Linked DNA regions of Elephas maximus indicus. The protein of the gene in region 4 purifies or fractionates together with the protein of the main gene of each other region. This does not show direct contact. Links are inferred from orthologs where the notes say so. Each region holds a gene or a part of one and is shown on either strand. Other genes may lie near its edges.

What was found.
Region 1: the proteins of DYRK1A (region 4) and ANAPC4 purify together in Homo sapiens (affinity purification with mass spectrometry; 3 studies listed by BioGRID and IntAct, with this or other methods). This does not show direct contact. The link is inferred for Elephas maximus indicus from reciprocal best matches to the Homo sapiens genes DYRK1A and ANAPC4.
Region 2: the proteins of DYRK1A (region 4) and FAM117A purify together in Homo sapiens (affinity purification with mass spectrometry; 4 studies listed by BioGRID and IntAct, with this or other methods). This does not show direct contact. The link is inferred for Elephas maximus indicus from reciprocal best matches to the Homo sapiens genes DYRK1A and FAM117A.
Region 3: the proteins of DYRK1A (region 4) and GLCCI1 purify together in Homo sapiens (affinity purification with mass spectrometry; 8 studies listed by BioGRID and IntAct, with this or other methods). This does not show direct contact. The link is inferred for Elephas maximus indicus from reciprocal best matches to the Homo sapiens genes DYRK1A and GLCCI1.

What each region holds. Positions count from the first base shown.
Region 1 is NC_064823.1:137,986,242-137,994,154, reverse strand, and holds the start of ANAPC4 (anaphase-promoting complex subunit 4), read left to right. Parts: upstream 1-4,678; 5' UTR 4,679-4,766; intron 4,767-7,913. Other genes in the region: rRNA N6-adenosine-methyltransferase ZCCHC4, read left to right, coding at 4,531-4,678. UniProt on the Homo sapiens protein: Component of the anaphase promoting complex/cyclosome (APC/C), a cell cycle-regulated E3 ubiquitin ligase that controls progression through mitosis and the G1 phase of the cell cycle.
Region 2 is NC_064837.1:43,842,828-43,850,163, forward strand, and holds the start of FAM117A (protein FAM117A), read left to right. Parts: upstream 1-3,871; 5' UTR 3,872-3,927; coding exon 3,928-4,123; intron 4,124-7,336.
Region 3 is NC_064826.1:68,678,420-68,686,558, forward strand, and holds the start of GLCCI1 (glucocorticoid-induced transcript 1 protein), read left to right. Parts: upstream 1-5,043; 5' UTR 5,044-5,553; coding exon 5,554-6,007; intron 6,008-8,139.
Region 4 is NC_064820.1:219,102,864-219,111,264, forward strand, and holds the start of DYRK1A (dual specificity tyrosine-phosphorylation-regulated kinase 1A), read left to right. Parts: upstream 1-5,052; 5' UTR 5,053-5,143; intron 5,144-8,401. UniProt on the Homo sapiens protein: Dual-specificity kinase which possesses both serine/threonine and tyrosine kinase activities. Exhibits a substrate preference for proline at position P+1 and arginine at position P-3.

The DNA.
Region 1 (7,913 bases), on a different chromosome or scaffold from region 4:
CGAAAGGAAAATACTTAAAAATATTTAATATGTAAATGTTTCAAACTTTTATTGCCATTCTTTTCTATGATTATTTTCACTACTACCACCAATATTTGGTATTGATTGTAGACCAGAGAAAAGTTATACCAGTAACAATAGCATATTTAGGAAAACCATTGCTATTTCAACCAGGCTAATTTGAATGATTATAATTATCTTTTTTTTTTTTTTAAACTAAAGGGATGATAGGAATTGAACCCTCTTGTTTTATGGATAAGAAAACTGAGACCCTTTCCTAAGGTCACATGGTTATTAGGTAGAGATTACCAGATATCCAAATTTCACATTACATGAACGTTTGAAATCAAGATAGAAGATTCTGAGCCGTCATGTGAGCTGTGATGAAAAAACACCTATTAGTATTAGAAGTATATGATGCATTCATTAGTTACTATTTTATGATTGTATTAGGATTCTATTATCTCTTTTTATTTTCTTTGTGAAAATTAATTTTTTTCATTAAAACCCAGCCACTTGAATTCTACCTCCTACTTAAACTGACTTTTCCATTACTTTTTATCAGATTTACTCTATTTTAAATAATTTTTTCCATTAAGTAACCCGAATGGAAGTAGAATTTTAAAAACATTAAAGAGGCTGTCGTGTAGGCTTTTAATATCTTAGAAAATTAGTAAAGAGATACTCAGGTTTGATATGCATAAGCTTTAGTTTACTGCAAGGTAGTCATGCAGGTAAGACCTCACAACATTCATTTAGAACTGGAGAATCAGAATTTACAATTACAATGTTGGTCAATGGTTAGAGTCCAAATCTTTTGCTTTCAGGTTTATACCTTTGATGAGAGGTCTCAGGAGGCAGGCTTCACCACAGCTGGAACTCATTAGAGATCCCTTACAGCTAGGGTCCAAGGCCAGTGGTGGTGGACAGAATCTCAGTTCCATATCTATCTTCTCTCAGTACGCGAGCAGAAATTTAGAGTTTATATGTGAATTTATCACCTTGGCTTCACATGAGGGCCAGTGTGACGTCAAAGACTAGTATGTTCTGTCTTTTCTTCAGGGTTAGAGAGTAGCCAAAAGATGCATTTTCTCTTCAAGGTTAGACATTAGGGAGGTTGTTTAATTAATGTTGTTTTCTTGTATCACAGGATGCTGGGTCAGAGTGAACTTAAAGGTTATTTACATTCTTTACATACTTCACATGCTCCTGTGTTTCTGTGTCTAAGTTTAGAAATTTTCTAAATTACTTTATTAGGAGAGCCTCAGAGTGGTAGACATAGTTCTAAGTTCATATTATGAGTGCTTATTCATATGTATTTTGAAAGCATAATAGTGTCTTAGACCTTATGGGATTTGAGATCATTATAGAAACAGACAGAACTTATTGACGAATCTTACAAAATCTTCTAGTAGAAACCTTTAAGAGTAGAATGCAACCTAATAAACTATCGGTCTGTGACTGTTACACTATTCTCAGTAGGAACAGGAAGATAACATGCTCAGCCTTTACCTCTGTAAACTCATGATACATAGAAACTGAACTTGCATTCTTACACACACACACACACACACACACACACACCTGTTGCTGTCGGACTCATAGATCCTATAGGACAGGGTAAAACTGCCCCAGAGTTTCCAAGGCGCTGCTGGTGGACTCGAACTGCTGACCCTTTGGTTAGGAACCAAATGCTTAACCATTGTACCACCAGGGCCCGGTAGGCTCTTTCCTGGGTTTTAAATAGCCTCAGTTAGTCTGTTTTGTGGTAATACAGTACAACCTGTGAGAGCTGGAACGTGACAGGACTGCCTTGTTTTTCTGGGTCTTGAAAGTTTTCGGCCTTTGACAGGTTGCAGTCTTACTACTTTTCTGTTGCTCTCTATTTGTGGAAAATATTTGTGTTTTCCTTCTCTGACAGGTTTCCACCTTACACAGGTTCCGGCTTTCACAGGTTTTACCGTATATTGTTTTCATTGTGGGAATTCATCTGTGTCTTTCAGTACAGATTTTAGGAAGTTTAAGTCTAAGAGCAAATCCTTGGGGATGTGGTATATCTGGTCATTCTTAAATAGTATTTTACTTGCTTCTCTCAGAGAAGATTCCTAAACTCTTGCTAACATTTCTCTTAAAAAATTTTTTATTTTAAAATTAACAAGGCTATGTTATTTTTTCTCTTTAAGATAGTAAAAAAATAATTTTAATAGTATTTTAGGCATACATGGCATAAAAGATCTTTTTAGCTTCTGTTTTTTACAGCTGTTTTATATTAATTTGTTTTTCCTTAATGCTAATTTTCCTTTGGTTGTGAACTGGAATGATGCTGGCTCCCTCTTGTGGTTAAAACTCATTTTGTCAATTACATAAATACTTTTAGAGGACAAAGACTAACTTTAATTTTAAGTAAAAACAATTATTTGATTTATACTCAATCAGTTCATCACAGCTTCAAGACTTTATATCTGCAAAGCTTTGTTTATTCATATTGAAAATGAATATATTAAGATTTTTTTCCACCTATTTTTGTTTACTGTATCCCCTAGTGAAATCTGGTTATAGTGTTGATTTTTAGTCATGCTTATTCGCGGATGAGCCAAAGAAAAATTTGTTTAAATTTATTTGTACAGGCATTGACTTTGTTATCAAGAGATTATACTATACTTCATTAAACTTGCTAAATCATCACTTATCAGGAAATTATCTTACATTTAAAAATTGGCTGGGGGAAAGAGGAGATTTGTATAACGTGCAAAAACAATATAAAGATGACTGTTTTCATTTTGAACTGATAGAATATTCCAATCCATAGTGCAAAGTCTACATACGGAACATTGCAAACTTGTCAAGCGAAACTGAATAACACTTGAGTCGTGTGGAACTACTACTAATATTTATTGAGTGATTACCATATGCTTAGCATTTTGCATAGCTGAGTAATTTATAGTAATGCATAGCATCCAAAATGATTAAAAGCAGTTTCTGGAATCAGTCTAGTTTTGCCACTTCCTCACTGGATGATCGTAGATTTTCATAGCCTTAATTTCTTTTCCTAAAAAAAGCCTAGGGAAGGGATAGGAGGGTGATTTCCGCCTCATCTGTCTTCTAGCTCTTTGAAGTCAAAGATTATGCCCATTCATTTTTGTATTCTTGACACTTATGCCGAGTGAACAAAAAGTGAGGCTTAAGTTTGGTTCACTAGGGGATTATGTATTGTTTGTGAAACCTTTCGCAGGTTTTGGTCCTGGGAGGTCAAAAATAAGCTTTTCCCCAGGGCTTGTGGTTTACGAGAGGTGAAGCTAACTATTGATATTGCTAGCTATCAAAAACCAAATCCATTGCCATCGAGTCAGTTCCGATTCATAGTGACCCTATAGGACAGAGTAGAACTGCCCCCTAGGGTTTCCAAGGCTGTAATCTTTACAGAAGCAGACAGCTGCATCTTTCTCAAGTGGAGCAGTCCGGTGGATTCGAACCGCGGACCTTTCCATTAGCAGCCGAGCACTTTAACCACTTCACCACGAGGGCTTCTGTTATTGCTGACTAAACCAAACCAAAACCAAATCCAGTGCTGTCGAGTCGATTCCGACTCATTGCGACCCTGTAGGACAGAGTAGAACTGCCCCATAGAGTTTCCAAGGAGCACCTGGTGGATGTGAACTGCTGAGCCTTTGGTTTGCAGCCATACCACTTAACTACTACACCACCAGGGTTTCCTTTTGCTGACTAGTGACGGGAAATTTCTAGGCTTGCCAGAACTGTTAAGCCCAACCTGTTCTCTGGTTCATGATACGATAAATGGTATTCTTCCAGCTTGGAGAAAGTGAATGTACAAACCAGTAGTCTTTCTCAGCCACAGATTACCCGTAACTTAGTTCAGAGAATGCCAGAAGCAAATGATCTGTTTTTTTCTGGTGTGGTTTAGTGCTTTTAGAGGGCAGGGTCCAGCTTTTTCATTTTGAAGCTAGTTTTCAGGAAGACAGGGACCACAAAATGTGGACAACCTGTATGGCACTTGCCCAGGACTTTTAGTTCCTGAGGAAAGGAAAATTAGCCCAAGGACTGTAGGACTTATAAAATGGGCCCCTTCCAGTGTTGTCATTTTCCCATTATGCTAACTGCCGAATGCATAGGTCCTTTTTGTAAAAAATGTAATTCAGGGGTTTGAAGATTGAAGTGCTGAGTTGAGCAGTATGGATGTACCAAAAAAAAAAAAAAAAACAAAACAGAAAAAACCAAAAACATAACTCATTGGCTTGACTACCTCTGTGATGTGTTTGTCCTAAACAGATTGTTCTAAATGTGTAGTAACCATCTTTCAAAGAAATTTCTTTTCTCAAACATTTTGTTTGGTCAGGCTTCTGGCTATCTCCTTGTTACTATGGTAAGAGTTCTGTGGATTTATGCTTATAATACAGTAAATTCCTTCTCTCCTCTGTTTTCTTATTTGGTTAGCTAGTTAATTAAACTTCAACATAATTACAGAATTTACTGTGCTCATTCTACAAAATAATTTAGTACCTTGTTTTTCAGAGCTGTCAGGAAGCAGAAGCAAAGAAAAAGTAATAAGATGGAATTGGAGACCACTAAAGGACAATCCATGAATCATACATCTGTTAGAAGGAAAAAAAAAGAGAAGGGAAAGAGCCCATCAATATCTTTGCTCTTAAATGTCCAGTGACTTGAGAATCAGAAAAGATTTATAGTCCAACCTTTGATGCCATTTTCTGAAAGTGCCACACTGGACTTAAATTCAGCCACTTGCAAAGGTATGTACCTGGCTAAGCCAGATACAGTCAGGCAGTATATGCTGGTTTATAGATGCCTTGTCCACCTCTCTGGAGACCTGGGGAGTTGTTCCATCCTTAGCTGGCTTACTAGCTCTCTCTGCATGCCTTCCTTCTCTTTTCCAATCATACTATTTTAGCCTTCTTTATCTGAAAAATGGACATACAGCATTCTTTTGCAGAAGGTGTCAGAAGAAAATGAAAGTGAAAACTTAAGAATTTTTGTTTACATTGAACATAAAACTCTGTTAACTTAGAAATGGAAATATTTGAAGTTAAATATTAAAACAGTATGAGATGGTTTAAACTCCACTTGAAAAGAAACGTACAATGTACAATTATTTTTAGGCTGCATCTGAAGATGGAAATAGTTTTGACAAAGGCACTCTGAAGATATAAATATAATTATGATGACATTACTCTTAAATATTTACTTGTAAAGTACATTTTATAGTTGTCCTTCAATGTACAGAATCACTTGTCTTTGTTGAATGAATGAGACATTTAGAATCAACGAGCTGTGTCATCTCGGCTTCTTTTAATCTATGCTGTTAGTGTATCTCTATGTGTAAGTAGTAGCAGAAAGCAGGCTAGTTTGGTGGTTTAAACCCTCACTCATATCCTAACACTTCCTGGCTGTGTGTCCTTGACCAGGTCACTCACTGTCTAGAAGCCCGTTACTCATTATTACAATGAGGATAATAATAGGTAGACCCAGGTTTGCTTTAGTGAGTTAAATGAGACACATGTGCCTCACTCATGGCTCTCTTCTGTCACTGGTGAGCCATGATAACAAATGAAGATTGCTGGGGAGGCCCGATGTTAATCCTCCAGTGGTCCAGTATCAAAGCACTGCAGGGAGCAGTTTATACTCAAGAGAACAAACAGTTCATCTCCCCATTTCCCTGCTAGATATCTGACGTTATCTCCTCAAAACTGAATAGTTTCGAATGGCTTCCACCTGCATAATGGCTTTCCCTTGTCCCCAAACTACCGCTTTAGAGCAAATTTGGAGGCATCTTTGCTTGGGGTTAGCTGGAGTCCCCTGTGAGTAAGGTTGGAGGGAAGTGCACTCCATCTGGTGTTTGAATTCCAGGTATGTTAGGCCTTTTCAATACATGAAGTGGAATACTCTAGCGTGGCCCTGATCGTTGTGGTAGTGGTATATTTCAGGTGACATCCAAGGATGGGCCAAGTTCCTGGACTTTTAGAAGCATCAGAAAACTCTTCTCTTGCCCCCTTGGTCACGTGGGTTGCTATGGTGGTAGGAGAGACAGATTTGGAGGTGATTAGATGAGATGTGAACCTGGTAAAATCATTGTAAGAGTAACCTTCTCTGAGTCAGACATGGACAGGGACATTGCCTCACTGTTGTGGTATCCACCATACATGATAACTATGAAATCTCTCAAGTATCTCTGTCTGGCACCCAGACACCTGTGGGACCATGACTCCTGAAGAATTGAGCCCTAATGGCTAATGGTTATCATCACATTATTTCCTTAATTTTAAGACACCATCAATTTTTTCTTTTTTTAATTGTAAAAATATATATATATATAACACAACATAACGTCAATTCAACATTTATGTCTCTCTTGCACGTTATAGGTGCTCAGTAAAATTGTTTTGAAGGATAGAATTTTCTAGAAGTTTTCAGATGGTAGGCATGCGTAAGATATGGAGAGAACTTCTATTTTCTGTTTCCTGTAAGGGCTGAAAAAAAGGGAAAACAGATCTACACAATTCTGATAGGAATTTAGAGTCAATACAAGGACTATTCTAACACTGAGGTTTTCAATGCTGGAATGTGCTGTGTGAGGAAGATTGACAGCCTTATCTGGAAGTCTTTAAACTTAGAATAATTTGGCTTCCTAGGTTGTTTTAAGAAAAACATTTATGTTGATGTCTGGCCTCTTCGAAGTAAGCTATAAAATACTAGGCATCTGGGAGAAGTTTGACGAGCTTTTGGGTATAAAACTACAGCCTGCAAAAGGCCCTGGGGAGATGCCACCTCCTTCACGATGTCCTTGTTGTTCTCTCCAGGGGAATAGCACTTCTCTTGCCAGTGCAATAAAAATACAATGTGTGCTTGTGTGTGTCTTAATTTGTACTTCTCTTAAGGTACTTAAAGCATGCGCTGTATTAGAATGACTTTAGGTACTCGTTTACCTCATTACACATTAGAAGCTCACTGATGACAGGGGCCTTGTGGACATAACGATGTTTGTTCACTGGTTCCTGGAACTGCCCCTTGCGCCCGGTGACATCAGAGATAACCAGCTGCATCATGTATGATCTGGGTTACTCCACCCAACAACTCTGGGAATTAGGCAGACAGCCTAACGCATTTCTTTACACCAAGACAATACCTTCCAAGTGTTAAAAAAAACCTTCCAAGTGTTAGGTGCTTATAAATACAGATTAAGTGAGTGGAAATGCCTCAAAACCTTAACTCTGCTACTTGAATAGGAAGCTAACACACTTAGAGCTGCCCAGGTGAGGAACACTTCCAGAAAATGGAAAGGAAAATCTAATTTCATTTATTTGATGCTATTTTAATTGGAGCATTAGGACATGTGTTAAGTTACTTGAAAGTGATATGATACGATCATATGATATGATTTCTACTATTTGATTTCAGGTGAGCTAGTGTAGACTGAGGGAGATAGCAGCAAAAGTAAGCAAGTAAGCAAGCAGACGTGCTAGCTCTGAGTTTTACCCCATTAGCTGGACAGTCACAAGATTCTCAGACTGGTTAGTTGTTGAATACCACTGCAGATGAGACAAGGTAATTCCTAAGAAACAGCTGGAGTAGGCAGACCTCAGTTTCTTCACCTACAAATGTGGCAGTGAGGAGTGGGAGCAAACTAGGGAAAGTCACCCAAACATTCTGCGTGTTAAAAGGGGACTATTAATACATGAGCCCAGTAAATCAAAGAAAAAATCACCCCTAATCCTACCACCCAGAGAGAATCACTGTTAAAACGTTGAGGTTTATTCTTACGGATAGATTCTTGCATAGATAGCAATACAGACATACCCTAAGTTTTCCCCCACAAATACAGAATTGTTAATTATTCCTGTTTTGTAACTCACTCTTTTTCATAAATATGTTGTGGACCTCAA
Region 2 (7,336 bases), on a different chromosome or scaffold from region 4:
TCCTCTTAGCAGCACACAACCTCCCCCAAAGCCATGGCTTCTTTCACTGGAAGAAACAGACAGGGGTTGATCTTCAGATGAGGTTCTTATCCTCCCATCATGCCTATGCCAAAGAAGCTATCAGTGATAGAGAAGGGGATAAGAGACAGCTGGTTGGGGATGATACCTGGTAAGGAGAGGACTGGGTTCTCCCCTGCATGCCTGCCTTCTCACTCCTTCAGCTAGGACCAACTTTAATGTCTCTTGCCAGCAACTTATTTATCAGGAAAGACCATGTCTCTCTGGACTCAGAAGATCCAATTCTTTAGCTGTGCCACCTCCACTGGCTCTTCCTTCCCTGTCCAGGCCCTCCATTCCTGGTACCTTGGAACAGAAGGTTTAAACCACATGTCCTTGGGACAACCCATATTACCCCTCTCTTCAAGGGAAGAATGCATCTTACAACATTTCGTCTTATCTTTAGAACAACTCTGAGAGGTAGATAGAGCAGGGGTGACTCGGGCACAGAGTTGAAGCCACTTGCCCAAAGTATTTAAAGATCCCTCATCTCAAGGCTTTTACCTCTAACACATACTATGTGGCTCAACCAACAAAAGCCATTCATCATCTCCTAAGACTGCCTGAGAATTTATAGAAAAAAAAAAACTGTTGCCGTTGAGTCGATTCTGACTCAAAGCAACTGTCATGGGTTGAACTGTGTCCCCTCAAAATATCTGTCAACTTGGCTAGGTCATGATTCTCAGTATTGTATGATTGTCTACCATTTTGTCATCTGATGTGATTTCCCTATGTGTTGTAAATCCTATCACTATGTTAATGAGATGGATTAGCAGCAGTTATATTGATGAGATTTACAAGATTAAATAGTGTCTTAAGCCAATCTCTTTTAAGATATAAAACAGAGAGAAGTGAGCAGAGAGACATGGGAATCTCATACCACAAAGAAAGCAGCACTGGGAGTAGAACACATCCTTTGAACCAGGTGTTTCTGTTAAGAGAAGCTCCTAGTCTAGGGGAAGATTGATGAGAAGGACCTTTCTCCAGAGCCAAAAGAGAGAGAAAGCCTTCCCCTGGAGCTGATGCCCTGAATTTGGAGTTTTAGCCTACTAGACTGTGAGGAAATAAATTTCTCTTTGTCAAAGCCATCCACTTTTAGTATTTATGTTATAGCAGCACTAGATGCCTAAGATAGCGACCCTATAGGACAGAGTAGAACTGCTCCATAGGGTTTCCAACACACAACTGGTGGATTTGAACTGCAGACCTTTTGGGCTCAGAGAATTTATAGATGGGTCCTAAAATGGTGTATGTTGTGAGGCAAGAACAGACTTCAGGAGACCAACTGGCCCACGTTTTCTCCTCAGCCAAGACCAGTGGACTGTAAATTGAGTGTTGGTTGGGAAAGTGCTTGAATCTGAAGTCAAAATACCTAGGATGTAAGTCCTGGGTTTCCATTTAATAACTGGATGATCTTGGGCAAGTTATCTAGCCTCTGTGTCTTAACCTTCTGTAAAGTGGGGGCAATAGTATCTGCATTTTCTGCCTTACATTCATATTGTGAGAATTAAATGAGATGATGTATGTGAAAGTTATAAAGCACTAGTCAGTTGTTAAATCATTTTAACATCTCAGCCAGATTTGCATCTTTGGAGATTCTTTATGTGAACTATAAATGGTAATACTTTTGTGTTCATAAGAAAGAGTTACAAGCGTAGAGATTAGAAGCTTGGGCTCTGGAGACAGCCTGCCTGGGTAAACTTGGGCACTTCTCTCTGAGGCCTCAATGAAGAGGAGATAATATCCACCTCACAGTCTGATCATGAGCATTAAATGAAATAATGCAGGTACAGTGCTTAACATGTACCTGGCATGGAGAAAGGAACTCAGTAAATGTCAGTGCTGCTACCATTACTGATTTTATTAAGGAAGGTTTGTGGCAGGGTGGTCCAAAAATGGACAGAGATCTGAGCTAGGAATCAAAAGGATTCCCTTCTTTGGGCCTCAGTTTCTCTACCTACACTGTGGTGAAAATCCATGCTTTTCTTCTTCCAGATTGTCATAAGGATTAAAAAAAAAAAAAAAAAAAAAAGCATATGAAGACTCTGAACTATTTGGAATTGAGAAACAATACAAATGCAAGGTTAAAGTGTTTGGCTGCTAACTGAAAGGTTCGCAGTTGGAATCCACCAGCTGCTCTGAGGGAGGAAGATGTGGCAGTCTGCTCCTGTACAGATTTACAGCCTTGGAAACCCTATGGGGCAGTTCTACTCTGTCCTGTAGGGTCACTATGAGTCAGAATCGACTCAACTGCAGTGAGGTATCTGCCTTTAGTAATGTTGTCCCTTTCATGGAAAAGGAGTCCAGCACTTTTTTAGTCAGTTAAAAGAGATTTCAAATGTCAGATCTTGAATTAAATCCTTCAAACAAGCAATAGAGCACTCTTTGCAAAGAACACCATTCTTCAGAAGATTCCATTTCCTCAATTCATTCTGTGTTGATTGTAATATTCAGCCAACTCTTGAATTTCCACTTTGTGTATTATCTGCTTTCAATATTTAATCCCAGAATGACCTCTCCTTGCCTCCCGGCATGATCCCAGGTTATCTCCTTTTCTCTGATTAGTTAGTATATCTTCAGGGAATACCTTCATTTTAACATAAAACTGGGCAAAAACAGAAATAGAAAGATAAATCTGTAGCAAGATCAAAAATAGGATTCATAGCTAAATATAAATCTGGAGGGAATTATCCAATTATTTGAATGGTCCCTTGACGCAGACAATATAGGGTTGATTGCCTTTGCTTTTCCATGTATAGAACAAAATGGTTGATAAATACCAAGCATAATAATTTCTAATAGCACCTTAACTGCAGTTTTCTTTACTCAAATGCTTTCATTTATATTAACATCATGTGATTGTCACAGCTGTATGCATTCTTTTTGGGGACTATTCGGTGTCATTTTGCATTAGAGGTCAGAGAGCATTGAACTGGGAAGATCAGGATTTGCTAATGGAGTCACTGAACAAACTTGGGCAAGTTCTTCAGTCACTTTGTTCCTTCCACTCTGCTGAGCTAGAGACTTGGAATAGACTACTCTGAAGGGAAGTTCCCTGCTCTCCTTTTCAGAGTTCCAATTTAATTTGCAGACTAGCGGCTGTTTTTTTCAGGTTGGACCAACACCAAGTAGGGACTGGGAAACGTGGAGAAAGACAAATGTGTCACATGAGCACGGGAACCTTTAAGTGCAAGAATGTTATGCAAATAGCACGCAAATAATATGCAAACTTTGCATTAATTTGTAGAATCTTAGTTTGGCCGTTGCTAGCAGCACTTTTTTTTTTTTTTTAGCAGCACTGAGATCCTATGAAGATTCAAAAATAATGTTTTCAGGTTAAAACAATGTAATGCTTTCGAAGTTATCACTTTCTCCGTGCTGCCAGCACTCAACTGCTGAAAGTTTGACACCCCCCAGCCCACATAATGATTTCACCAGTGCCTGATTCCAACCCACACCCAAACCCGCCCCCAGCTCAGCCTAGTGTCACGTGATAATATTTGCATACTACCTGGGGCTGGGTGTGACGCTCCCCTTTTCTGCGTCTTCTCATTGGTGCCTCTGGAGAACCAGCCCTCTTCCAGACTGACCAATCAGTGGCCTCTCGGCCGTCGGGAAGCAGGCAGGGGGTGGGGTGGGGGTGGAGTCTTGGATCGGATCGCTAGGCCCATCGACCAATCATGCTTGGAAAAGGGAAAAGCAAGCCGCGGATTGGCCGGGAGGTAGTTCTTGGGGCTCCATAGGCCAATGAGAGCTCTGAGCTGAGGCGGCCGGTCTCCGCCCCGTAGGGCAGATAAGCAGCGGCGACGAGGACCGGGGGGCTGTGTGTGCTCGCTGCGGGGCCGAGGCAGGAGGGCTGTTGGGCGGGTGATGGCGGGGGCCGCAGCGGGCGGCAGAGGCGGAGGTGCCTGGGGGCCGGGGCGCGGAGGGGCCGGGGGGCTCCGGCGGGGCTGCTCTCCCCCAGCCCCCGCCGGTTCTCCCCGGGCTGGGCTGCAGCCGCTCAGGGCCACGGTCCCCTTCCAGCTACAGCAGCCGCACCAGCGCCGGGACGGGGGTGGCCGCGCAGGTGAGCCGGGCCTGGAGCGGTTGCCGGGGAGGGGCGGGGAGCCGTGGGGGAGGGGGGCGCGTGATGAGGGGGGAGGGGAAGTGTGAGGGGGAAGTGGGTGGGGGCGAAGTAGAGAAAGGGGACACAAAGTCTGCAAGGTTGGAGGAAGCGAGAGGAGTCGTGAACGTGGGGTGCACCGCCAGAACTCACTTGGGGCTGGGAGGTGGGGGGGTGGGACCTGGTAGCTGGAGTCTGGCTTTGGGGGTGTAACCGAAAAGTGGGCAGAGGTGTTGTGTGGCGGCCAGCGGAAGATTTAGGGATGGGAGCAAGGTGTGAGGGGGGAGTGGCGCGTGATGGGGGGTGCCCTGCTGCGAGGGTTGGCCCTGGGAGCAAGGTGCGGGTGGGCGCTGGACGCCTGCACGGGGAGGGGGAGGAGCATGGAGGAGCGCCCAGTGGAGCCATGTGTTACTTCTCCAACTTGAGTTTGGCCCCAGCATCCCTCTCTGCAGCAGTGGAGTTTCTTTCCCTACCAGTTCACGTGCGCTTCCCTTTATGCCACCTCTTGGAGCTGATTTTATTTGAGCTGTTGGAATAAGTTAGGTTAACGGCTTTTACTGCCTACAAACGTTCGGCTCCCGATTCCCCACATTGCTCTCTGTGTGGCCCAGAAGTTGTATGTGCCCAGATCGTTGACCTGCTTAATTTGGCTGTCTCATTCCAAACACCGTGTCTGTGTGTATAGGACCTGGGTAGCTTGCTTCCCCTGCTCCCCGCCACCCCCCCACCCAATTTGCCACCCTCCGCCTTTCCCCCCGTTCGCCCCACCAAGGCTGTTTTGGGCATTGCCAGCCAACGTGGCAGTGGGGGTGAGGGCAGCAATCAGTACACTGTGGCAAATACCCCACTTTCTGAACAACACTGAAAAGGTGTCTTAATAGCAGCTTGATGTGGTGGGTGTGGGGAAACTAGGGAGGAGCAAGCTTAACCTTGCTTTCACACTCAAAGCTGTGACCAGTTCCACAAATGCAGGCCGTTAGGAAAGGGAAAAGAAACCTACTTGCTTGAGGAGGTTGGCAATAAGTTGAAAGTGAGGCTTACATTTGATTTACACCAGATGTGAACAGATCACTGCACACTTGCAAAGCCTGAGTCTGTACCAAATGTACAAAAGTCGTGGTCCCTGCCATTTAACGGCTAATGGCATTCCTTGAACCAAAGTCTCCTGAGATTTTTGTGATTACTAAACTTACTTGCACATCCCCTTCCCGAAAGTAGAGCTGCTATCGTGCCTTGCTAAGTAGGAATGGGATTGAGAGGGTCTCTGAGGTAGAAAACCCCCAAGTCTCTCTGGACCTTACTGCAAACGTTAGCATCACATCTTGGAACACAGAAACTTGGTCAAATCTGGTAGCAAGATGGTGACCAAGTGGTAAAAGTATGTGTAGAATCTGGCTGTGTAGAGCAAGGCAATGCCCAGAGAAACACATGCCTATCATGAGCTGGAAAGCAAACCACAAGACTACAAACCTGTTGGTTTTGTTTGGGCTTCCTTGGAGCCCAGGGAAGTTAGTAGAACAGCAAGCACCAGAACCTTAGTTTTTTTAGTAGAAATCCACAGAATACCTGCCTGTGTTGTAGCCGGAAATCAATTAGCAATCCTATTTTAAGAGCTGTTATTTTGTGTCTATAGAGCTAATAATAAAAGGGTAAATAAACACTGGTGAATGCTGTGGTAGGGGGAAGAGTGTAGGTTTGGATGCCTGAGTTCTTTACATGACCTGTTCTTTTACAGAGCTCCTGAGATAACGGTCAAAACATAGGAAGCTAGATCGCTGCTTAACTTGACAGGTGATTTAAGGCAAGTTGGGTGGACTCTTGCTCATGGATTGGGTTCATCGATCATTATTCTATCTATTAATATACCAGAGGCATTAACATGGCACTTGCCTGGTGGATAGTGGGATTAGCTATAGATTTTCAGTGCAGCAGGAGAGAGAAAAGGTAAAAGAAGAGTACCCTGAGCCTATGTTCTTTGTGGCTAGGCAATAGGGGAGTGTACCTGGCCTTTGGTTTGGGAGCACATCAGGCTTTCTGCATGTTAACGTAAACCTGTATGTGTGTTCAGACTGTTTCCGTACCTTGGCCTGCCTGGGGAAGTGGCAGGAGTGCCTTGTAGGCCAGTCGGGTAAATGTGATAGAGGGAAACCCGTTGCAGTCATGGAACCTTGAATAGCATGGCATCGGGAGCCAGAATGCCTGGGTTTCAAATCCAGGGTTCTACCATTTAGTAGCTGCTGGCCTTGAGGAAGTTACTTCTTTGCCTCAGTTTCCTCATCTGTAAACTGTGGATAATACCTACATCATAAGAATCAAACAAATTAATAGATTTCAAGTGCTTAGAACAGTGCCTGGCACATGGAAGGTGCTATAAAAGTATTTGCTGCTTCTTATATTGTTGTTGGAAACCTTGGTGGCATAGTGGTTAGGAGCTTCATCTGCTAACCAAAGGTCAGCAGTTTGAATCCACCAGGCACTGCTTGGAAACTCTATGGGGCAGTTCTCCTTTGTCCTATGGGGTCACTATGAGTTGGAATCGACTCAACAGAAACGGATTTGGTTTGGTGTATTATTATTATTCCCTCTCCCTGGCCAAGGTGATAGTGAGAGCACTGTTGGCCAGAGCCCATTGCCTTTTCAGGCTTCAAAGAGCAAACCCAGATTGGTCTGAAACCAGTACTGCAGGTTTCAGAATTTCAGGGCCCCTTGCACTTTTATTCCTCATCTTTTAAAATGAGCTTTCTAAACAGGGCTCTGAAACCCAACTGTGTAAAAAGGCATGTGAGCTGCGACTGGGTTTCAGAAACAATTCAGTGTCGTCACTTTTTGTTTCCCATCTCACAGTGATGTAACACTCAGAGCTGTGCCGTTATCTCCTCACCACACACCCTGTTGTGTTCTTGACAAGATACATTAGACCTCGTAAAAAGGGTCATGGGGTAAAGAGCGTTATTTACCTTCTGCGGCCATTCATCCATGAGGGATGTCTTCATAAAGTGAGGAATGGCTTCATTTTTATGAGCCTGGGCTAGAGATGAGGAAAATATGGAGAGAAAAATGAAGGTCAACTCTAAGAAAGCAAAGAGCCACTAGTGGGTAATAGAAACCCAGAATAAATTTTTTACTGCATTTCCCCCTTTAAATTCTCTCCTCTGTCTTACATCAGTTGGAAGCTGC
Region 3 (8,139 bases), on a different chromosome or scaffold from region 4:
TTTAACTATTTGAACTCTCATTTTTTAAAATAATACTATGATAATCAAGCATACTGCCTTCATAGGACGACTACCGCTTCCATGTATTGCTAGCACTATTTGGGGATAAAACAAATAGACTATCACAGCATGGAATGAGTTAGAATATTTACAGTTCTTTGGTCCCAAGTCTTTAGCCTGCAACTGTGCTGACTTTATACAATATAGCCTTCTAGTTAAATGGTAAAAATCAATTTATGTACCAGCTTAGGGGATATGCCACTAGCATCATAGTTGACAAGTGGAATTGTTATGGAGATGCAAGGCTGAAAAATTGGTGGTCTTTATCGTTTTCTGTCCTTGTAGAAATAATTGCATGTTTACTCTTTCGATGACCATGCCAGTTAAAAAGAAGGCACTCTTATTTCCATAACTTCTGTGAGCTTTCTTATTAGAAACAAAACAAAAATTTTATCGTTTACATAATATGTCCCTTTCTACTTAAATATTTTTCAGTTCCTTTACACAGCCTCTTGAGAATAGCTGTTCATAACAGCGAGATAGAACCAACTAGGCAGATGTCAATAGGCAGATGTCACTCCCTAACTGATCCTCCTCAACTGTCACTCTCTATTTCAGTTGTCCTTTTTTCCTGTAAAGTTCAACTGTCTTTTCTTCATTATCAATTCTCTTTTCCATTTTCAACCTCTGATGAGCCTCCAGGAGCCACTGGGGCTAATGTTTTTCACTTTGCCTGTATAAGGACCACAATACAAGATACTGCTTTCTTTTTGAATGTCAGCCCCAATGCACCTATCTGTGTAGTTTACAGTAGCCATATAGAACACTTTTCTACTCTGTGGCTTTGCCATTCCAGCAGAGCTATACCTGTTACTATCATACAATTTTTTTTAAATGAAAAGCTCAAGTTTTCATTCATGGGACAAGTATAGGTTAAAATTTGCTACTCTCTCAACATCGTTGAACAGATTTTTAAAATTTTTTATGATGTACCAAGCACTGTTCTGGAGATGTTGCAGTTATAAAATAGATTTTAAAATCCTGCCTTCATGGCTCTTATATTCCAGACAGAACAGACATACAAAATGATGATTATAATATATGCTAGGTTGGATGACAACAAGTGCTCTGGAGAAAAATAAAGCGGGATAGAGAATAGGAACGCCTAAGGAGGACTTAGAATTTTTAAAAGGGTGTTCAGAGATGCTGTTATCATAAAGGTGGTGACATTTGAGTGAAGACCTGATGGAAATGAGGGAACAAGCCACATGGATATCTGGGGCAAGAGCCTTTCAGGCAGAGGGAACAGCAGTGCAAAGGAGCACGTAGGCTGCCACAAGCTGTGGGCAGTTTTACTAGCAGCATCTGCCAGGGACAAAAATGCAGCAAGGATTTTTTTGTTGAGTTGCTACTAAGAATCACCTACAAGAGAGTTTAATCCGCTTAAAATGAACATCAGTGCAGATCTGTTTAGTGTTCTCTCCCAGCCATGACCTCATTGCTAATACTAGCAGACTGGGTTGCTTTTTAGATATGGATGGGCCTTGGATGTACAGCCTGGCAAACCTGGATGGAACTAGAAGAGGAAGATTTTCATCTCAGTAGCTCTGTAGGCCTGATGGTTCTTCATCTGATTATCTCTCCACATGGGAGAGATTCAGTTCCAACTCACGGTAACCCCTTGTGTGTCACAATAGAATGGTGTTCCATAGTATTTTCAATGGCTGATTTTTCAGAAGTAGATTGCCAGGTCTTTCTTGTGTGGCATCCCTGGGTGGACTGGAACCTCCAACCTTTCAGTTAATGGCTGAGTACTTAACCATTTGCACCACCCAGGAACTCTATATTAATCATAGGTAGTCAGTAATTCTATGTTTTAATTTACCCTAAACCATAGTCTATTACCATATTTGAACTAAGAAGTAAGTACAATAGAATTCTACCTCCGATTAGCTAATGGTGGAGTCTTATCCCACAGGTAGCCAAGGCAAGGAGGCTACTGAGAACAAAGGCCTTCCCCACGCTACCACATTGCTGCTTTCAGTTTTGTCTTCTTCTGGTAAGAAGAACATAGTAAAGAGGTCATTACTAACATTAAGACTTATATGGACTTATCAGAGATTGCTACATTTACATTTAACAAAATAGGCAAAGTGCCAACCTATCTTGTAGCTAGCACAGTAGCATAAAAATGCTATTCTAGCCCAGAAATCCACATTTCCTTCTAAAGGATTTCCAATTTACTGAGAAGAACATTTTCCTAAAGCCTATACATGCTCTTGGAGTCCCATTCCCAACCCCAATAAGAATAAAATATTATTAAGAACTCAAAAGAGAGGGATTGAATTTCCAAATAAATCAAGATGACATACCAGTAAGTGAAAATAGTATTTTAGGATCATACTAATTCTTTGTGTAGTTCACTAAGATTTGCTTTAGATATCTGAGTTAAGTTGGCTATGGTAGATTTGAACAAACACATAAAGCCTTAAAATGTGGCTAGTTTTAGTTCAAATTAAGTATTGGTCGTTTTACTGAAAGTTGGTAAAAATTTAGAATTATTATAATCTAATTTCTTTTCTCTAATGTAAAAACATTTTTTTTTTTTTTGTTTGAATGTGTTGAGGTTGTTCCATACTTATATTAAGGAGTGGCCAGAGATAAAATTTCTGTAATGAAACCATGCTGTAATTAAAGCAACAACTTAGAAACTTACCAGCATTTTTTAAAGCTTTACATATTTTAATCTGTCAAGTTTTTTTGTTCTTACTATTCTGAATAATTCACCAGAGAGGTCATTTGTTGTCGTCATTTTTATGCCTGAAAGAATGCAATGTCATAATTAATGAGGAATCATTAATTTTTACATGAAAAAACTAACACAACAAATCAGATGAATTATATCAAAGTTGAAGGAGTAAGGTATTTACCCTATTTATAATGAAAATACATGTTATTTTGGAAAGCAAAACAACAGTGGGCTGTTTTCACTGGTAAAATGTCTTTTGAACCAAAAGGGAATTTATCTCACAGGTGAGATTTATAGACTGTTGTAAATACCCTACCAATCATCTACTCCACAGCTTTAAGCTATGAGGCAGTAGAGAGAGAGCTATTCACAGACACTTGAGCCAGACTGCCTGTTTTAGATTCCTGGCTTCCCACTTAATAGCTGAGTGATCTTGAGCAAGATATTTAACTGCTTTGTGCTTCAGCTGAGAACACAGCAGGGGTAACGATAGTATCTACCTTGTGGATTGTTGAGAGGACTAAATGGGTTAACACATGGAACGTTCTTGAACACTGGCTGGGAAGTGGTAAATATTAAGTAAATGTTAGCTACTATTCTAGTGTGACAAAAGGTGAGGAACTTTCCCTAGTCTTAATGGGATGAAGTACTGGCTGAAATTTTTGTGTTCTTATTGAGTTTCATCAATTTTTTACAGAACTAAGTATGCTTTCTGGTCTGAGAACACAAGGGAACAGAGAGAGAGATGCCTCCTGTGAGTGAAACAGACCCCTGCAGTGCCTGAAATCAGAGGAAGCTTGTCAGTTTGGGCAGACCGGTCTGGGTCCCACTTCTTTTACCTAATTAATGGAAGATATCTGATGTAGACTCTTAAATTAACTGTTCCTGTGTAGTGTTTAAAACCATGGTTTACTATGAGGTTAACTTAAGTTGCTGATAATCAAAGCATTTGTACCTCTTCAGTTGCATTATAGAATACAAACAGAATTTATCCCAGTGCATTGTTACATTAAGTCTGGTATTTATTCTTCCCAAGAGGCTGCTTCTGGAGAAAGTCAAGGATGTGTCCTCCACTAATATATCGTGGCCCCCTGTATCTGCTGGTTTCTCATCCGCAGATTCAACCAACCGTGGATCAAAACTATTCCAGAGAGAGTGAGAGATAAAAAATAGAAGTTCCAAAAATCAAAACTTGAATTTGCCACTTGCTGAGCAATACACTGAATCCATGCGAATGAAATGATGTGTAGGCACACCCTACTGTAGCCTCCTGCCATTTCACAGATCATCAGTGTCTCTCTGACACTCATTGTTTGAGCATTGTTCACCTCTTGTCATTATTCCCTAAACAATACAGTACGGTATAATAACTATTTAGATAGCACATTTATTAGGTTTTAAAAGTAATTTAGAGAGGATTTAAGGTATATGAGAGAATGTGCAGAAGTATATGCAAACACTACGCCATTTTATGTAAGAGACTTGAGCATCCTCAGATTTTGGTACCTGTGCGGGTCCTGGAATCAATCCCCTTTGGATACTGAGTGACTATATCTAACTGGTGGTGAATGATGTAAAAGTCCTTGTTGACCCATGTAATACTGTCCTGGAGCATAAGATTTCATCATCTCATTTTACTGCTAACTACAAATGTTAGGATGGGCTATGAAATGATGGTCCCTTAGTTCATCCGGCTTCTAGACATTACTCCTGATCTTGATAATTATGTTAAGCACCTTAAGTTGTTTTGATCAGTCTACTAGCCACGAAAACTCAGATTACTAAAATTAGAAAGGAAGGGATGGATCCTTCTGACTCTAACTCTAAGACATCCCACCAGAACAAAGTATACTTGAAAAGTAAAGTTTGCCTTAAGTGTCTTCTGCCTTAAGTAGTAGACTGCCCAGGAAGGTGGAGCACTTGCAACCTGCTCAGGGGAGCGTCCGCGTGTCTGTGGGTGTCAAGGCACGCGCAGGACACACATGGACCCAGTTTCCTAGGGCTGCCCAAAGTCTCCTCTCACCCCGAAGGCTGTCAAGTCTCACGGCGCTCCTTGCGCGCTTAGCCCTCTCCTCACTCCTCCACTCCCTCACCCTCCGCCCAAAGGTAGAATGCCCCACTTTCATTGGTGGAGGCTCCGCTCACTCCTACTCTAAAACCAATCACTCGCGTGCTGGCGGAAGCGGCGTAGCCAATGGGAAACCTCGTTGCGGCAGCTGCCGGGTCCCAAACGCCGGGAGGCGGTGCCGGGGGCGGGGTGAGGGTGGGGGGATTAGTTGCCAGTCGGAGTGAGGAGCGGGTAGAGGAGGCGGCGGCGTTCGCGGTGGCGGGGCTTCTGAGACGTGCCAAGCACCCTGAAGCCCTTCCCCTTTCTCCTGATCTCCAGAAGCAGGGGTCCCGGCCCTCCCTGCAGCTGCCTGGTACTACCGCGCTTGCAGCCCCGCCAGGGCTAAGTAGCCTGCGAGCGGCCCCTGGGGCTGCGTGACTCAGGCAGTTGCCCCGCTTCTCTGTCAGCGCGATGCCCTGGGCGGCGGCAGGTTCGGGGTCCTCGCGGCTCCAGCCGTGACCACCACAGCAAGCCCGACCGGGCGGTTGGGGCCGTTGGACGTTTGTTTTCGCAGCTTTCCCCTCCCCCCTCGCCGAGGTGACGGGGGTGCGCGTTGGGAAGGGGGAGCCAAGAGACTCCTCCCCCTCCCGATATCCCCGCCCCTCCCCCTTACACACTCGCACGCACTATCGCGCCGGCTCCCACAAGCTCCGCGCCTCCGTGTCGGCTGGCGTCGTCCAGGGCCCGCGGAGCCACCATGTCCACTGCCTCCTCCTCCTCTTCCTCCTCCAGTTCCTCTCAGATCCCTCATCCCCCGCCGCAGAGGATGCGGCGCAGCGCCGCGAGCTCCCCGCCCGCCGCCGCCGCCGGGAGCGGGAACGGTGCGGGCGGCGGCGGCGTGGGCTGCGCCCCGGCTGCGGGAGCCGGCCGGCTGCTGCAACCCATCCGCGCCACGGTGCCCTACCAGCTCCTGCGGAGCAGCCAGCACAGTCCCACGCGCCCGCCCGCCGTAGCCGCCGCCGCCTCGCTGGGCAGCCTCCCGGGGCCCGGCGCGGCCCGCGGCCCCAGCCCGCCTAGCCCGACGCCGCCACCGGCCGCGGCCCCGGCCGAGCAGGCACCGCGGGCCAAGGGCCGCCCGAGACGGTCGCCCGAGAGCCGCCGGAGGAGCAGCTCACCTGAGAGACGGAGCCCCGGCTCGCCTGTGTGCAGAGGTAGCGAGCCCAACCCTCCCGTTCTCCCGGGCTGCGTCTCCCCGACGGTGCCCTCCGTGGAAACTTCAGCCTCTCCGGGCTTCTCTTTGCTAGTGCATTATCGAAGGTGTGAAAGTGGCTTTGGGAATCTCACCCCCCTACGGTCGCAGCGGGGCTTGGCTGAGCGAACTGAAAACTGCAACTTTTATTTGACCCTCGTGCAGCCCCTCAGATTTTATCTCCTATCATTCGCCTGCATCGAAAGGTTTTTCAGTTTAATAGATGATTAGCTCACTCGCGTTTGCTGATTGTAGCTGGGGAAGAAGGAGCTGGGCGAAACACTTAAACACGCACACAAACTCTCCAGCAGTCCATAAGGTGGTGGTTGTAATCTCTGCAGCCCCTTTGTGCTTCCTACAAAGTTCCTAACGTGCATGTAACTATGGGGATAATGTTTTCTTTTTTGGAGGGGTGGTGGTGGTAGGTATGATGTAATGATATCTGCTGGATGTATAGAGGGGGCAATTTTGAATGCATTTCAAGTGGAGTTACCCCCCCTCCCCGCCTTAAGTCTCCCCGTCCTCTCTGTGTAGTTTTACGCATCATAGCAATACTGCACTGGAAACGGTTTATGCCCAACTCAAGATTTTTATGGTAAATTTCTAAAGACCTTTTTGTGCAGTGCATTCACTTTTTCTTTCCACTTTTATGTTCATTTAACAGTTCAGTCGAACTGTTCAAGAATCTCAAGTTTTTTTTGTTGTTGTTGTTAGGTGTCAAAGGTAATGGTGAACTGGTGGATGCTGTGAGCTTCCCATCATGTTTTCTGGTTTGGTTTGGTGTATGTCTAGGGACACAGTGAATGATCTAGTTGAGTCCTGGGGGAGAAAAGGAAGATTTGCCAAAGCTCATAAGGGAGATCAGAGTAGTTAATACTGTTAGATACCAGTCTGCAGCTACAGATGCTGCTGCTGCATTGAGGAGGCAGCAGATCAGACTGAGTGGAAAATCTCTGGCTGGAAGCAAAAACACTGTCGAGCTCTGTACAATGTTTACGTGGTATGTGGATTCTTTTTTTAAATGGAGTTTTCTTGATGAAGGTCTTAGCCTTGGAGAATGTGATAGTCTGTGTTTTGACAGATTGTAGTTTTGATGTTTTTGTTTTAATATTTCGGACCTGTAATTAGCATTTGCTAAGGCACTTGTTTTCAGACCACTTGATGGTGAACCAGGGTAGGATGTAGTGCAGTGGGATTGTACGTGAGCATCAAGAAATACATCTTGTAATCTGTATGCACCAGGAGGAATTTGCTCCCCCACTCCTCCCCCAGGTCAAGCCAGCTGCTGCAGAAACTGACATCCTCCAGCAAATCCTGAATGAATGAATGAAAACAACGTGATCGCCCTAATAATGACCACAACTGAACACACATCTTTGGCTGTATTTTATAGAAAAGGCCACCATTTTCTAACAGATTAATGCCATATGCAACTCCCTTGCACATTTTCTAGAGCTAACAAATGAAAAGGAGGCAGCAGTTACATGAATTTCTGAGTGATTTAGCTTCACTAGTGCATAAATTGAGTTTCAGGGTTTTATTTTAGGGATTACTGTAAAAGTGATAAAATAAATATTGCAGATTTTTTGTACACAGGGTTTTGTGGGCAGCGTAAGAGTATTTTCGGCCATTGCTGCAACAGTAATGGCCATTGAGTATCTCCTCCCCTTTTGTTGAAAACACATCTTACAACACATTATAGTACAACTTGTTTTTCTTCATCCTTCAAAAGCCTTAATTGCCTGGGAATTACATGCTCCATCATCAAGTAGTTTTAATGAAATTTGTGATGAGGCTTAAGCTATCCTCTTTGTTGTAGTGTGGCGCATCCGACTTTAATGCAGTTTTAATGCAATCATGATGAAAACACTTCTCTGAGTCTAGTTGTGCAGCAGACAGATTTGCATCATCAGGGAGCTGGTGCTGGGAATGGAAGGGCATTCTCTACTAGAGATGTTTTTCTGCCTTTGTAACACCAGGTGGTTTTGTCAGTTTCTTACACTGAGGTGATTTTGAATGCAGGCTCTTGTGCCCCCAGTTCCCTGGTTATTATTACCCCATCCTACTTCTCCCCATCCCATCTTGCCCCCCTAA
Region 4 (8,401 bases):
TTGTCATTAATCTAGTCCTGGGTCTAGGAGCTTCTCAGTGTAGTGACCTCATGTCCAAAGGATGTGCTCCACTCTTGGCTCTTCTTGATTGGTAATAATGAGGTTCATCTCCTCTCTGCTTCTCTCTTTTATATCTCAAAAGAGATTGACTCAAGATACAACCTAATCCTGTAGATTGTGTCCTGCCTCATTAACACAACATCCTCTAATCCTGCCTCATTAACATGATAGAAGTTAGGATTTTTGACACATAGGACAATTGGATAAGGTCACAAAATGAAGGACAACCACACAATACTGGGAATCATGGTGTAGCCAAGTTTACACACATTTTTTGGGGGGTACATAATTCAATCCGTAACACTCTGGGAGACTATATATATGTATATATGCATATACATACATATATATATATATACATACACACATTTATTAGAAAAGGTACTAATCAAGGACCCATTAGAACCCCATTGAAAGGGACCATACCTAGACTTCCTCACCAACTCGTGTGCCCCCAAAACTAGGAGTCAAACCCTGAATCCATCTATCACAACTGAAAAAAGTCCATGCTGCCTCTGTAGACCAGCTAGCCCTCTAAAGCTAAAAATCACCTTGAGACACTCTGGAGGCCAGAAGTAGAGGACATCCAAGGTAGGCAGCTAATCCTAAGATCACAGAACAAGATTCCATGCATCTTGCTCAACTTTGTGGCCTTTGTTTTATAATTGTAGCTATCCTTATGCTGCTAGCATTACTCCATACTTGTGGCCTTATTCCTTAGTAATTTTATTCAACATGAAAGTCCACTTAAGTTTTATATTTCTCTTTGTAGTAATTTCTTCTCCTTTTTTGATATCTTTAGTTGGTTACCCAATGGCATTGGTTCTTCGTTATGCTCATCATTAGAAACTTGACTAATTCTTCTGATCATTATGTTAATTATAAGACTGGTTAAATGCATCATGAATTATATATCTAACTTTTGCAGTCACACCGCCAGACCCAAAGTTATGCAAAGTATATATATATTGAGGAGGTTCAAGTTTCTGGAACTTTGAGCTTGTGCCTTCGCAGTTTGTCAGCTTGCGTAATGCTGAGATATTCCTCTAAAAAATTTGGCCTTTCTACTCCAAGCTCCCCTTACCATCAGTTCAGGAGGAGAGTGACTAAGCAATGGCATAGTGCAGATACTAGATGGTGCCTGGCTACTCAGTAAAAGCATAGCAGCATCTGGGGCCTTAAAATCTTGAAAGCAGCCATCTATATTACAGCACAATTTAAAGACCATGCACAAGAAAGGGCTGTCATAATGGTCTTTGTGATTTAAGAAATTCTATAAATTCTTGATCAAAAGGGGGGAATGATAAGTAGCTTCTAAAATCAAACAGAGGCTCTCAGCTAGGCCAAAATGGCTGAGGACTCAGATCTCAATAAAAGGTTTGTCCAGATTACTAAAGAGGGGGATGATAAGTAGCTTCTAAAATCAAACAGAGGCTCTCAGCCAGGCCAAAATGGCTGAGGACTTGGATCTCAACAAAGGGTTTATCCAGATTACTCTGAGTAAACAGGGGAGGGAGACAGAAAGGAAAGTAATAAATGTGCTTAGAATGTTACAGGAAACATGTGACACAAATTCAATGTCCTTGGAAAGAATGCTTTTCGAAAATTGTCTCTTAGGCTGAGATTAGATTAACTGATATGAAGAGCTGTTTTTGAAATGTTTATGGGATTATAGGGACAACGACTTGATGACAATGGGTTTGGTTTTTGGTTTTAACTTTGTGTATAAAAGCTCAATTTTGTCCCCAGAAAGATGGAGCGCCTTGTTCTCTGAACGAAGTGCTGCCCAATTTGCAAATTGTATCTTGCCTCAATAAACTCCTTGCTTTTACTTCACAAACTCTCAGATTTTACTCTTTGACATAGCAATTAATTTTGGCTCATTTAATATAGTGGTTAAGTACTCAGATCCTAACTGAAAGGTTGGTGGTTTGAACTCACCAGCTGCTCTACAGGAGAAAGATGTGGCAGTCTGTTTCTGTAAAGATTTACAGTTTTGGAAACACTGTGGGGGCAGTTCTGTTGTGTCCCATAGAATCTCTGTGAATCGGAATTCACTTGTTGCCAATTTTTTTTTTTTTAGTGTTAAGGGTTACAAATGCCTAAGTGATTAGACAGAAGCATAACCATGTAAAGGGGACGGAGCAGGGACAAGAAAAGGAGGAGGAAGTTGGCTGTATAAGTGGAAATTTGATCTTGGGTAAAACCAAGGTAGTGATTGCTCATCTGTATAAGGACACTCTTGGCCACTACCTCTTCCTTCAAAACAACTAAGTACAATGTGGATGTTAATTACAGTACCAGGGTAACTTTGAAAAAACTCAGCAATCCAGAAGAACTTTTGTAGTTTTTTGATACCCTGAAGAATCAAACTGAAGTAAGCTATTTTTGCCTGAATATACACACTATTTAATGTGGTGAAAATATACACAATAAAACATTCACCAATTCAAGTTTCTACCTGTACAACTCAACGACATTGATTACACTCTTTAGGTTGCACTCCTCTGTGCCCATTTTCTTCCTAATTATCCCACCACCCTTAACATACACATGCCTGAATACTTTTTGCCTAATTTCTTTTACGTTTAATTTGATTTCTTTCAGGGCCTGTACTAACTTCAATGATTACCTTAGCGCATCAATTGGTTTGTTTGTTTTTTTTTTTGGTTTTGTCAATGTTCTACTAACTGTAGAAACAGAACATTTGTTGCAAATCTTTTTAAGCAAACATCTTTCCTTGAGTCACATACATAAGATAGCTATCAGTATTTATTACAATACTTTTTTTTACACCTAATACTGTTTATATGTTGCTACCGTACTTGTGAACAGCTGAAGGCTCCTATAAGAAAAAACGAATATGATCACCATCATAAGATGGCAAAACCGAACTTAGAAATAAATCAGTATATTAGCGACTTTTGGTACAAAATAATATATAAACTCTTCTCAGCTGAACATTAAAGGCCCTTATATTACGGTTGGTACAAAATACAATTTTTAGCCAGTGGCTGTCTCCTAATTACAAAGTAGCCAGCATGACATAGCTTGGGTTTTAATGCCTGGGGAGCACACCTAGAAATATTTAGTCAGGCAAAACAAAACCTGAATGCAAGCCAAAATAGTAATAACTGTTCTGATTGTCAAGGTAAGTGGGCAAATTAAGTATCTGGAAATTGAGAAGGTACATTAAAAAAAAAAAAAAAAAGGAGTCGAACGACAAGGACATAGTAATAGCACAAAAGGATTAATCTGAGGGGCATTTCCATGGAGAAGCCAGGCTGTACCCACAGAAGCGGGGAGGGGTAAAAAAGAAGGCTCGAAATAGATGGGGAAGCATGGGCGGAGCGTGCACTGCCTAGAAAAGTTTTTATGACAGCTACGTCCATAATTCTTGAACGTTGGTATTGGTTCCTTAAAAATCTGAGCGGCATGATTTAATCAAGGTGTCAGCCGCAGGGACATCCCTGATTCCGGGGAAGCGTCGGAATTCCTGAGATGTCTGAAGTGCGGAGGCGGCCTCCACCCCGCCCCCACCGCGGCCTCCGTGGGCATTTTCCGGCGAGGGGGGGACGCGAGCCCTTCAAAGAACACTTTAAACCCATGGACGTGTGCGCCGGGCTGCTCCCACGCGGCCGCCGCGCGCCCCGGGAATAAAGGCGAACACCTCGTCCGGACCGCGGTGAGAGCCCCGTGGACGGGCGCCCGCGGGGGGGCTTTCTGGGTCCCCTCCCCCATCGGCGCCCCTCCCCCCGGCGCGGGCGGGGCCGCGGGCGCACGACGCGGAAGCGCGGGGCTCCGGGGGCGGTGGCGCGGAGCGGGAGGGCGCGCGCTCTCAGGGCCGCAGTCGGCGCGGGCGCGGCGGGCGCGGGGGTCGGGAGGCGGCGGGCGCTCGCGCACAGGCTGGCCGCCGCCTCGCCCCCCTTTCCTCCCTCAGCCCGTCCGTCCCCCCTCTTCTTCCTCCCTCCCCCGAGCGAATCACGCGCCCTCCTCTGACACTCGTAGCGGGCCCGAGCTCCGAATTTATCCTTCACGTGACCTGAGGGGGCTGGGTGGTTGGTTGGGGCCGGAGAGGGAGAGGGAAAGGAGGGAACGGAATCTGCCGTTACCCGAGCAACAAGCCCCGCCCGCCGGCTCGGGGACGGGGGGCGGGAGGAGGACGTCAGCACGTCAGCCGGGGTTTTGCGTTTTGATTGACAGTTGCTATAGCGACCGGATCGGTCCGCCGCCATTTTGTTGGTTGGTTTTTTTTTAAACCCTTTCGCTTCCCGCCCGAATAATAATAAAAAGCCCCATTGGAGTGAGGCGGGGGTGGCGGCGGCAACAGCGGCGGGGGGATCCGGGGACACTGCTGCCGTTGCTGCTGCCGATCGTGGCCCAAGTCGGGCGCGGGGAGCGGACACCCCGAGCGGGGGGTGAGGGTGCCGCCGCCGCCGCCGCCGCCGCTTCTGCTGCTGCTGTTCCTGCTGCTGCTGTTGGTGCCGCTGCCGCCGCCGGCGAGCGGGCGGGACCGGTGTGAGTGTGAGAGTGTGTGAGTGAGCGTGTGTGAGGACGAGTGTTCGTGCGTGTGTGTGCGAGTGTGTGTGTGAGTGTCTGTCTGTGCGGGCACTCGGGGGCGGGCGGTTCGGGCGCTCCTGGCGGAGAAGCCGCCGCTGCCGCCGCCGCCGCTCGGGCCCCGGCGCTTCTCGCTGCGCAGGTTTGGAGCGCGCGCCATTTTGTGAGATTTACAAAATCCTCTTCGGGAAGAAGCAGCCGGGAGCGGCCGCGACTAGGTGCCCGGCCTCGCCGCCGCCGCCGCCCTCCTCGCCGGGCCGGGCCGTGCGGCCCCGCCGCCGGGAGTCGGGGTCCGGGGACTGCGGTATTTGCCGGGGAGGGGGCTGTCGCCTCCCCGGCCCCGGGCGCCGCTGGAACCGAGAGCCGGCGAGAGACTGAGCAGACTGCGGCGCGGGCGAGGAGCCGGGGGCGGAGAGAGGCGGCCGGGGTGGCGCTGGCTGCGGAGGCCGCGGCGGGAGCGCAGCGGCGGGAGCCCGAGGCTGAGACTCACCGGAGGGAGCGGCGCGAGCACCCCGCCATCGTCCCGGTGAGTGTCCGGCCCGGCCGCGGCCCCGCCCGGTCCGGCGCTCGGCTCCCCCCGCGGCCTGTAGCCGGGCTCGCGCCGAGGCCGGCCGGGCGGAGGGAGGGACCTGCCATTTTAGGAGGAGGCGCCGCGGGCCCAGGCCCGGCCGCCGGGGAGGGAGGCTGCAAGGCCGGGTTTTGGAGGAGAGGCGGGTGCGAGTGCAGGGAAAGTTGCGGAGGGCGGGAGGAGGGGGCCGCGGCCTCTCGGGAGCCGGGGCCTTAGGGGCCGGAGAAAGCGCCAGACCTTTACTGGTCGCCCGAGCCGAGGGGAGGAGGTTGTCTTCCTCCTCCTCCTCTTCCTCCTCATCCTCTTCCCCCAGCTCCTCCCTCGTCCCTCCTCTTGGTCCCCACCAGTGTGGGAACCGCCGGGGTTCTTAGCAAGGACAATGCCTGGGTTAAGAAAATGGGGCTGGTGCTGGGCGAGGCGAGGACGGCGGAGCCGAGGTTGGGCGCCGGGAACGTCGGGAGCCCGATCCCTCACAACCCGTTGGGGTCGGTGCTGGAGGGAGTGGGACTCGGCGTGTTCTGAAGTTGTGCAGTGACTGCAAGTAATCCGGCCACTCGAGATGCAGTAATGCCCTATTCAGCAGCTGGAGGAGTTGGTGACTGGGAAGACGTGAATTATAATTGATACCTGTGTTTTACGACATAACTTCACTTAGCTATTTATAGACTCTAACTCACATTTCTGCTGAATATTTATCTCCACACTTAGCAAAAGGCTCCTCCATATTCTGAAATAGTTAAAAAATAGAAAAATTAGCGAGTGAGTGCCTCTGACTTCTTGGCTGTGGTTTTCATCCACCCGGAGGTTATAGGAACCCTGTGATGTCCGTATAGCGCTTGAGTGCCAGCACGACTTGATTATTGAGTTTTGCCCGAGTTGTCAGGAAAGATACGTTATAACGTTATTCTTACACGGAGTTGAAGATGAGGACGAGTAGTGCCAGGTGCCTCTCTCTGGGCTTTACATGTTATTACCTCGCTGATCCGGCCAGGAGGAACTGCTGCCCATTTTACAGATGAGGAAACTGAGCCGACAGAAGGGCAGTGACACGTCCAAGGTCAAACAGCGGGAGCATGGAGTCTGTAGCGAGCCTGTGCTCTTAACCGCCGTGTTATTGTAAATCATTATGAATACTGGCAAATTTTGGAACCATTTGTGTGTAATGACTCAGGATTCTAACGTAGAGATTGTCTCTCTTTATAGTGTTTAGAATGGGATTGATTTTGTGGTTTGTGGAAGTGGAAGGGAAAGGTTGACATGAGGTCCTCTTGATGAAACTTGTCAGTTTTTTTTTCAAGAAAATTAGTTTTAGAATGGAAGGAATTAAAAAGTATTCTTAGGTGTGTGGTGTTCTTGATAATTATAGGCATCATTTAAGTATTGATGAGTCATAAAGTTTTGTGTGAAGTTATTTTTGGTGATATTTTATATTTAAATAAATATTTTGGATTTTTTCTGTGACATTTTACACATCTAAAGTGTCTAAAAATGAATATAATTAGTACTTTGATTTTGGGTACTTTAATAAGTAAAATTATTTTTAAGTTTTGTTTTCTTAAATTTCTCATTTGGTTATTCCATTACTTTAAAAGAATATTTTCAGATAGACTAAATGTGAGACTAGGATTAATGTTTCATGTACTAGGGTTTTAAATTGAAGATAGTTTTAAAGAAACAGCAGTTAAGAAAAACATTTGCTTGATTATAGTTAAGCTTTTTAATGTATCCCAGTACTTTTGAAGGATCTGCCTTGAAGTAACAGTAGTGTTTACGGTAGCTGTCCAAATTATTTAGACTTCAAACCTAGCTGGAGAGCTTAGGACTCTTGTCAGTGTCTACACTGTGTTCTGTTGTAAACCTGGGCATAAAAAAGTTCCTGTTTACCTCAGGGAGGCATGAGCTCAAAAATTATTCTAGAAGGGTCTTCCCTTGTGTCTGTAAGGCGAAGGCATACTCTTATTTCTGGTGGTGTTTAAAAAAGATTTTAGATTTGAAGGAATAGACTTGAATGGTAGGGGTGGGGGTGGGCTAAGTGATCTGGTGAGATCTCTGTTATTGTTAAATTGTTTAGGATTTTGAAATTTAGGAATAAGATGGTTTCTTAAGGTATTTTGAAGACATTTCGATGGGACCTGTTAGAAATTTAATAAAGTTATTGTACTGTGCATTTAAAAATTAACAAGTAATCCAGTCTTTTAGGTGCACTGTCGTTCAAAATAAGTGGAAATATTCCATTTTAGTGCAGTGTCTTGTTTGGAAGTGTGGATAGTAAAAAAGACCCTTGGTTAGAATTTTTTTAGTCTCGATAATACTGCCTGAAGCCTGTTCCTTGGTTTTATTGTGAGTTCATTGTATTTATGACTTATAGATATGGGGTAAACTGGGGAGTGGTAAGTAGAACAAATTGTATTTGAAGAATTTCCATGGATTTTTATAGTTCTATGAATATCTGGAAAAGTGAAATTGGAATAACTTGTTATGAACATGTCTAAAATGACTATTGGCACTCATTTTGTTTAGTAACCACACCAAGAAAGAAAAATGCTCATTTGCATTGAATCTTGGGTAGTAATTGAAAACCATTTTTTTTTTTTTTTTTTAAGAAATAGTTTAGAAATTGAGACTGCCTATAGGTGTTTTCACATGCATGCTTATGTTTGGCAAGTATCTAGTTGTGGGAAGAAAATTTGGATAGAAGTAAATTTACTGTGGGTGAGAAAGGAATTGCTTTTGTATAAAAACCAAAAAAAAAAAAAAAAAATCCCACTGCTGTCGATTCAGTTCCAACTCCTAGCGGTCCTATAGGACAGAGTAGAACTGCCCCATATGGTTTCCAAGAAGCGGCTGGGGCATTCGAACTGCTGACCTTTTTTTTGGTTAGCAGACATAGCTCTTAACCACTATGCCACCAGGGTTTCCATGCCTCTTTTATGACTTTAAAAATAAGACTGGTAGAAGATAACCCAGTGCCTGAGGGCTTGGTAATTTGTGACTCCCTTGGTATTTGTGATACGATGTGTATCACTTTTTCTTTGCTTTGCCCTTAGCTTTTCTCTTAAAAGAGCTTTCCCCATCTCCTGCATATACACTCAGCCCAATTCCCTCACCCCAAGAGAAGCCCTAACCATCCAAACCCAGCAGAACCCAAACTCTTCCAGAAACAGTCTTCATAAGGAACTTTGCTCCTCACTCCAGAAATTTTACCTGTCTTGTAAT